Rattus norvegicus: one gene and its partner. The protein of the gene in region 1 interacts with the protein of each later gene in a pairwise test. Links are inferred from orthologs where the notes say so. Each region holds a gene or a part of one and is shown on either strand. Other genes may lie near its edges.

Region 1 (3,513 bases):
AATCTTTTCTGACTAGTTAAATAAAAGTGGCTATAGTCACTTACTTGGAATTACAGAGGTAGGTTGGGTTTCAGTTACTGAGCTGGGGGTTCGAAGTAGGGACCACAAAGAGAGGAAGAAGGAGAGAGAAGAAGAAAGGAGAGACCAAGAAAGAGGTCTGTCTCCATTAGATGGGATGGGGTAGGATCATATGGCTGGGGGAAGTGCACCCTGACGACAGACTGCTCCAAACAGCCCAAGCTAAACTCAAAACAGCAAGTAACTTGGGGAGCACAGCTAGGAAATAGCCAGTCTAGTGTAATATATTAGGGTAATTGGCCAGTAAAATTGTGCTAAAGCTGATTAAATAAATCAGTGGGACTCAGTCTCAATTATTGGGGACCTGGCCAGGTCATATTAAGAACAAATAGTTATTAATAGAATTCACAGCAACAAGGGTTTCTCTGTGTAGTCCTGGCTGTCCTGGAACTCACTGGAAGCCTGCCTACGTCTATTTGGATTAAAGGCATGTGCCACCACCTCTTGGACAAATCTGAACTAGTTAAGGTATTAGGAACCTTTGCTTTTTGGGAGGTAGAGATCTTACAATTAGAATTAGTGTCCATACAAGGAAACCCCTGAAACATGGGCCCTTTCCAAGTAATAATAAACACGCCTACAAACCAGGAATGAGCACTCAACATGTACTTCAGGTGGTAGAGTAGTTTCTACATAGATAGATACGGTGGGGAACCTACCTGCAGCGAGCAAGCGAAGTCGCAACCCTGAGGGTCCAGTTCCGTCTCGAAGAACGTCTACACTTTCAGCATATACATTCCCCAGGAAACAGCTCAGGGGCATCATAGGAGCCCTGGAGGCACAGAAGGAACAAGGCATGGGCCTCCCTTCCAGCAAGGCCATGGGCACAAAGCTCATGTTCCTCACACTCACTTGGTATCCTGGAGGCTGTTTCCACTATAGATGTACATTCGTTTTACAGTTGCTCCATGGGGTATCTGAAGAGAAGCTAGACCATGGGCAAAATTGGGCTGCAAGTAAGACAAGAATTTTACTACAAACATTATATAAATCACATGATTCAGTGTCTAATATTCCCTGGCACTCACGGTCATTAAGAACTGGTCTGGTCAAAGCACACAATCAAACTTGGTTCTGAGTCAACTAAGTTACTTTAAATAAGCAAGTGCATCTTTCATCTTTGAGTTTTATTGCCTGTCTGCCTTCTTCCCTTCCTGTCTTTTGAGACAGGGCTTACTAATTAATTCAGGCTGGCCTTGAACCAGAAATCTTTCTGCTTCAGTCTCCTAAATTCTGGAATTACAAGTGTGTGTCATCATTTCTGGCTTGTTAAACTTTTGCAGTAACAAGTAACTGAAGATCCAGAGAATGGACTCTTCAAACTGTTTAGGATGTCGCAGTTAGAAAATGGCTGGAGATACCGCTGACAAGGTGAGAGCCTTACCGGCCTCTACAGTGCCAAATGCGCTCTTCCTAGTCATGTTACAGCCTTGTTCTTCCTGTGAACTCTACCCATTCTCTCTCTTGACCATTAAAGAACTCAAAGCCGAGGTAACCAAAGAAAGGTGTCCTACCCATTCCCCTATCCCACATGGACACTGGAAAAAAAAAAAACAACCCACAAGGACCCAGAAGTGCTGACCTCATACTTGGGAGCCTCCGTCCATGAGTCTAACTGAAAAGAGAAAGACAGTCCTCTGAAGTTGAGGTGGAAGAGCTGCTCAGCAGAGTTGTACACTGTGGAGTAAAAATGACACAGCTGACTGGTAGCTGCTTTCCAACATAAACCAGCTTGGCAGGCAGCAATGACTCCAGTAGGGAAATTGCTTTTGTCTAATTTCTCAACTGACATAGGATGAAAACAAGGGTCTGAGATGCTATACACCTATCCAAGGACCTGAGATGAGGAGAGATGGCACCACCCACAGGTTTATTGCTATGGGCTGACCAGAGGAATCAGATGTGTTTGGCTTACCTCCTGGATGGGTTGCACCAAAAGACTGGTCAATTTGCTCAATGGTAGGAGCGATGGCCTGAGAGTTAAAATGCACTCCACTGAAAAATACAATTACTTTTTAATATCAGGTTTAACAAGATGGTCTTAGATCATGAGGAAAGGTGGCTGGCTGGATGTTATTGTTTATTAGGTAATAGAATCTTGCTATGTACCCTGGCTAGCTTTGAAAATACCACAGTCCTCCTATCTAGGCCTCTTAGGCATTGGGATTGCCAGCTTGTGCCACTGTATTCAGCATAGAGTTATTCTTAAAACACATTATATAAAAAGAAAATGACAAGGCATGGTGGTCTGCACCTTGTTAGCACTTGGGAGGCAGATATCACTGAGTTAAAGGCCAGCCAGGTTCCAGGCTACCCAAAGCGACATAGTGAGACCTTGTCTCACAATAAATAAACAAATAAATTTAAAATTAAATAAATTATAAATAAGGGGAATTAGTTAATTAGGTGAGAAATAGGTCAATTCTTGGAAGCCCCTATATGGAGTCAACTTTCTGGGGCTTCCCAATGCCGTTTTGGCCCAAAATAAAAGGACAAAGAAGACAGACCTTGAGGTAAAAAGGTTCTATTGAGTAACACTGAAAGGACAAACGGATCTAGTGTCATTACATATTTGTCCACTCCTATACTAACAAATACTTCCAGAACTGCCCCAGGAAGTGGGTCCTTGTCATGCTCTCAATATGGGCTCACTGGAAGGGACAGTCTTTTTTGTTGCTGCAGTAGTAAGGAATGAACCCAAGGTCACTCATATGCTGGGTAAGCTTTAGTACTTTACTTTTTGTACTTTTTTTACTTTTTGTAATCCTTTAGTACTTTAATGAAGGCAGTAGATAAAGCTGGTCTGTACCACATATAACATATACCAGTAAGGGAGAAAACTTACCAATACTTTAACTTTACTTTTGTTAAGTCATAAACTTCAATCACCTAAAAAATAGAAGAAATTGTTTAGGTACCATAATTGTTGAAGTTGTTACAAAGACAGAGTTAAGAGGCTGTAGCAATAGGATCAAGAGTTCAAGGCTGGGCTGGAGAGATGGCTCAGCGGTTAAGAGCACTGACTGCTCTTCTAGAAGTCCTGAGTTCAAATCCCAGCAACTACATGGTGGCTCATAACCATCTGTAATGGGATCAGATGCCCTCTTCTGGTGTGTCTGAAGACAGCAACAGTGTACTCATATACATAAAATAAATAAATAAATCTTAAAAAAAGAAAAAGAGTTCAAGGCCTGCTTGAGCTACTTGAGACCCTAACTCAAATAAAATACACTCACCAAAAGCCAATTCAAGGATACAATTAGCAATAACATAGTGTCAATCCCAGTGTCTCAGACTCCAAAAGACTCCTCAAGAACCTCTTGCTATCTTCTGTGCTTATTCTAAATTTGGGGAGGGAAAAGCCACATGTGGTGTTGCACATTTGCAGTCTGCACTCAGGAGGCTGAGGTAGGAAGGAGGGTCACTTAAGTTATG
Region 2 (4,073 bases), on another chromosome or scaffold:
TGGCTTCCCTCAGTCGACTTCGGAGTTGCTTTTGGTCTTGATGTTTCATCACAGAAATTGTAACCCTAACTAAGACATATATGGCCATAGAAATGACTTTTTTGGCCTTGGCCATGACCTCCTGTCCCAATTCTTGACACTAACCTGTATGATAGGCAAATGTCCTTTTACTTATTCCTTGTTGGTCATACCTAGCTGCCTATTTCACATCTAGGCAGGAACATCATGTCTAAATTCTAGGCCCATTTATGATTTTTAAGATCATACTTTATTATAAAGATTTCTTTAGGGAGGATTAATGTTCTCAAACTTGCTGGCACTGGGCTGTCTTAGAACTTGCTATATAGACCAGTGTTGGCCTACCGGAATACCATAAAAAGAGATTTAGGCACAGGGTTAATAGATGCTCAGGGGAAAGATAAGGTAAAGCTGCGAGTGTGCGTGTAGGTTTCTCGAGCAAGAGCTCTAGTCTATGACTAGAGGAGACAGACTCCAGGGCCCCTTAAAATCTTCCCCATGCCATCGTGCAAAGCCTCAGAGTCTTCTTAGAATTATGGATCCCTGTATTGCCCAACAAGGCCTCTCTATTTCCAGATGTTCATGAACATCCATTCCTACAACAGTAACCATTAAGGACCCCAACAAGATTTCTTACAGGCCCCTTATTTAGATAAACTTGGCAGCAGGACTGAACACGGACTGCCAACCTAGACTCCCGGAAGGTAAACACAATGTCGTGGGCGGGACGGAGGGCGGGCTTGGGCAGTCTGAGTGGTCTGGTAAAAGTGATTGGCAGCTGCCACATCCACGTGCTTTTAGCTTCGAATCAGCTGTCGCGAGAATTCGATGTAAACACACCAGTGTGCCTGGCTTCGGGCTCCTCGCTGGAGAGTCCTGGCTGAGGTCCGCAGATGTTTGGTGCATGTTGAGTTCTCTTAAAACAGAAAATCCACCAGGGTGCTTCTTCCAGGCCCGTAGACACGCCTGCCTTTTCTTCCCTACTGCCTGTATTCACAACCGAACCTGACCCACCGCTTCACCCGAACTTCCATACTGTTGTGTTTTCCCTCCAGCCCCAGCGGATTGGATGGATTCTGAAGGCGGGTCCGCCTCTTTTCTACATGCTGGTTGGCGAAGCTGACCTCCAAGGGCGGTGCCGCGCCGGGGCCAGTTTGCTCCTGGGATTGGCTGACGTGGTGGTTCCGCCGAGGCGTGGTAGGAAGTGGTAGCCGTCAATCACGAGGGAGACTCCAAACAGTGAGCCTGGAGCTGGAGAACAGCGTTTACCGGCGGAGCGGCCGGTGAGAGGGCTGGCGGGTCTTTGGCTTGGGGGAGGTTTGGAGAAGGAGAGGGACAAGCAGCATAAGGGAACAGGGCTTGACCAGCCCCAATTGACAGGGAAAGGTGCTGAAACTGGAGGAGAGCTGGGCAAGAGGCCAGAGGGCGGCCGGGGGCAGTGGTGGTAGGGCTTTGGAGGTGAAGTGTGGAGTGTTGTTCTCATGACTTTGGGGGAGAGTGGGGCCCGAGGGGCTTTCGAGGAGCTGTTCTCAGGTGACAAGGCCTTTAAAGGACAGAGGTGGGGAGACTGGTTTGGGTAATAGAGGGTGGAATGAAGATTAGAGCACTGAGGGGGTCTGGTGGAAGGTACTGTCTAAGAATGGGGTAGTTGGACTAGTTGGGACAGTGGTGTTTGGGTTGTGTAGGAATGTGGGGATCATCAGTTTGGGAGTTTTCATGTGAGGTGGCACTGTGAACCCTTCTTAAAAGTGCTGCTTTTAGGCTATGGGGCTTTCCTGAACCTTGTAAGAAATCCTTGGTCCTGTTGTCAGTCCCTCTTTAACCTTAATCGAGTAGACTCTGTATTCTCCAAACCTCCTCTGTGATTCAGAAGCTCATTAGATAATCAAGGACCAGGACTTACTTGGACCATGGAAAAAGCCAGGGACTCCTTATATCTTATGAGTTTATATTCTGTATTTGTTTACACGCTGGTGATTACGTTACAGTAGCTGGAGGTAAAATATTATTTAAATGCAGCCACACAGTTTTACTAATTGTCATTAGCAGATTTATCTGAAGGCAGAGTGGTATCGTTGTTTGTTTTTAGGCTCACATGGGCCATCTGGCCTTTACATTGGTGGCTGCGCCCTTAAGGTTGGCTTTGAGTGCCTGATCCTCCTGACTCCTCTCAGGTGTTCATATGCATCACCACCTGTGGCTAGCAGCTGCTGCTGCTGCTGCTTCTGCTTCTGCTGCTTCTTCTTCTTCTTCTTCTTCCTCTTCCTCCTCCTCCTCTTCCTCTTCCTCCTCCTCCTCCTCCTCCTCCTCCTCTTCCTCCTCCTCCTCTTCCTCCTCCTCCTCCTCCTCCTCCTCCTCTTCCTCCTCCTCCTCTTCCTCCTTCTCTTCCTCCTCCTATCATCATCATCATCATTTTTTTTTTGGTTCTTTTTTTCGGAGCTGGGGACCGAACCCAGGGCCTTGTGCTTCCTAGGTAAGCGCTCTACCACTGAGCTAAATCCCCAGCCTATTTTTTAAGGTAATACTAAGAGTCTCAGGCTCACATTGCCCTTGAACTCATGGCAGTTCCCTTGCTTTACCCTCCTGGGTATGTTGCTGGTATGTTATGTCACAGTGAGCTTCATATTTGTTTTTCTAAGTGACCCTGTGTTACCTAGTTCCCGTTTAATCCTCCTCTTATTTTTCTAGTTTTAAATTATAGGAAGAAAGATTCAGCAAAAGAGTGAACTGTTCTCACTTTCAGATGTTAGGCAGTTCAAGGCCAGCCTCAATTACAGGGTAAGACCCTATCTTAAAAGAAAAGAAATTTCCTGGGTGTAGCGGTACACACCTATAATCTTATCAGTCTGGCACTCAGGTCTCTAGGAGTTCTAGGCCAGCTGGAGCTAAATAGTGAGTTTCTGGGAAAATCCATGGTTTGGGAAAGGGATATTTAGTGAATACGCATGAAACGCTCTTTCCTGACACTAATGGTGGGTTTTTTTTCTTCTATTCTGGAAACAGGTCTTATGAATGAAACCATGGCTACAGATTCTCCTAGAAGACCCAGTCGCTGCACTGGTGGAGTTGTGGTCCGCCCTCAGGCCGTCACGTAAGCGGAAGAAAACAGTTTTCTAGAAAACAGTTCCCACTCAGAATATCTGTTTGAGCTGGGTGGTGGTGGTAGTTCAGGCCTTTAATCCCAGCAATTGGGAGGCAGAAGCAGGAAGATCTCCGAGTTTGAGGCCCGCTTGGTCTACAGAACAAGTCCCAGGACAGCCAGAGCTACACAGAGAAACCGTGTCTGAAAACAAACAGCTCCTCCTCCAAAACTTCCAGAACATCCATTGGATAGTGCTTGCTTCTATAAACATTTTTTACTTTTTGGCTATGCAGGTGAAATGAATGTCACTGTCAAGGGCAAATAAACAATTGGAGGGTTAAGCTGATGTATTCGACCTACATCTATACATGGGGGTGACTGTGAGGACTTGGGGTGCATCTCAGTGCTAGAGCACTTGCCTAACTTGTGGAAGGCACTGAGTGTGGTTCCTAGCATCACCAAAAAGGTAAAGTCTAAAGGAGTTAAAAACTTACAGTTCCACGAGTTAGTGGATCATTCAGTTAGTTGTGATGGCCTTGATCAGTATCTGAAATAGAAGGAAATAGGAATTGGGAGTATGAGTCAGAGTTTGAGTGTTCAAATCCTGGGTTCCATCTCTAGTACCACAGACAGACACAGACACCTACAACACAACAGGAAGTTAGATATTTGTTGTGTGTTGAGTTATATTTATACATTTGTACTTACGTATATGATTACTTAACTGTGTTGTAAAAGGATCTCCCGGTCTCAATATAAATCTTACAAAGAGGGCATTTCTGTATTTTATGTATTCTATGACAGTACAGCCATACTTTTTTGGACTTTATGAACCATCATGGTTTAAAGAAATATATACTTGAAATTATTGTAATCTGTACGAAAGAGAAATGCCAGCCAACCAGCATGTGTATTTAGAGAGGGTGTTTTAGTGGTAGTGAGGCGTCACAAGAAGGTGACATTTTGGGGGTTG

Evidence for each region.
Region 2: the proteins of Phaf1 (region 1) and Bcas3 interact in binary tests that used the Homo sapiens proteins (3 or more experiments, as listed by UniProt). The link is inferred for Rattus norvegicus from reciprocal best matches to the Homo sapiens genes PHAF1 and BCAS3.

What each region holds. Positions count from the first base shown.
Region 1 is NC_086037.1:50,024,937-50,028,449, reverse strand, and holds part of Phaf1 (phagosome assembly factor 1), read right to left. Parts: exon of another isoform or gene 3,351-3,513; coding exon of another isoform or gene 3,315-3,350; intron 2,968-3,314; coding exon 2,924-2,967; intron 2,074-2,923; coding exon 1,994-2,073; intron 1,756-1,993; coding exon 1,661-1,755; intron 1,029-1,660; coding exon 931-1,028; intron 851-930; coding exon 738-850; intron 1-737. UniProt on the Homo sapiens protein: Plays a regulatory role in autophagic activity. In complex with BCAS3, associates with the autophagosome formation site during both non-selective and selective autophagy.
Region 2 is NC_086028.1:70,710,262-70,714,334, forward strand, and holds the start of Bcas3 (BCAS3 microtubule associated cell migration factor), read left to right. Parts: upstream 1-1,263; 5' UTR 1,264-1,301; intron 1,302-2,658; exon of another isoform or gene 2,659-2,706; 5' UTR 2,707-2,796; intron 2,797-3,021; 5' UTR 3,022-3,026; coding exon 3,027-3,109; intron 3,110-4,073. UniProt on the Homo sapiens protein: Plays a role in angiogenesis. Participates in the regulation of cell polarity and directional endothelial cell migration by mediating both the activation and recruitment of CDC42 and the reorganization of the actin cytoskeleton at the cell leading edge.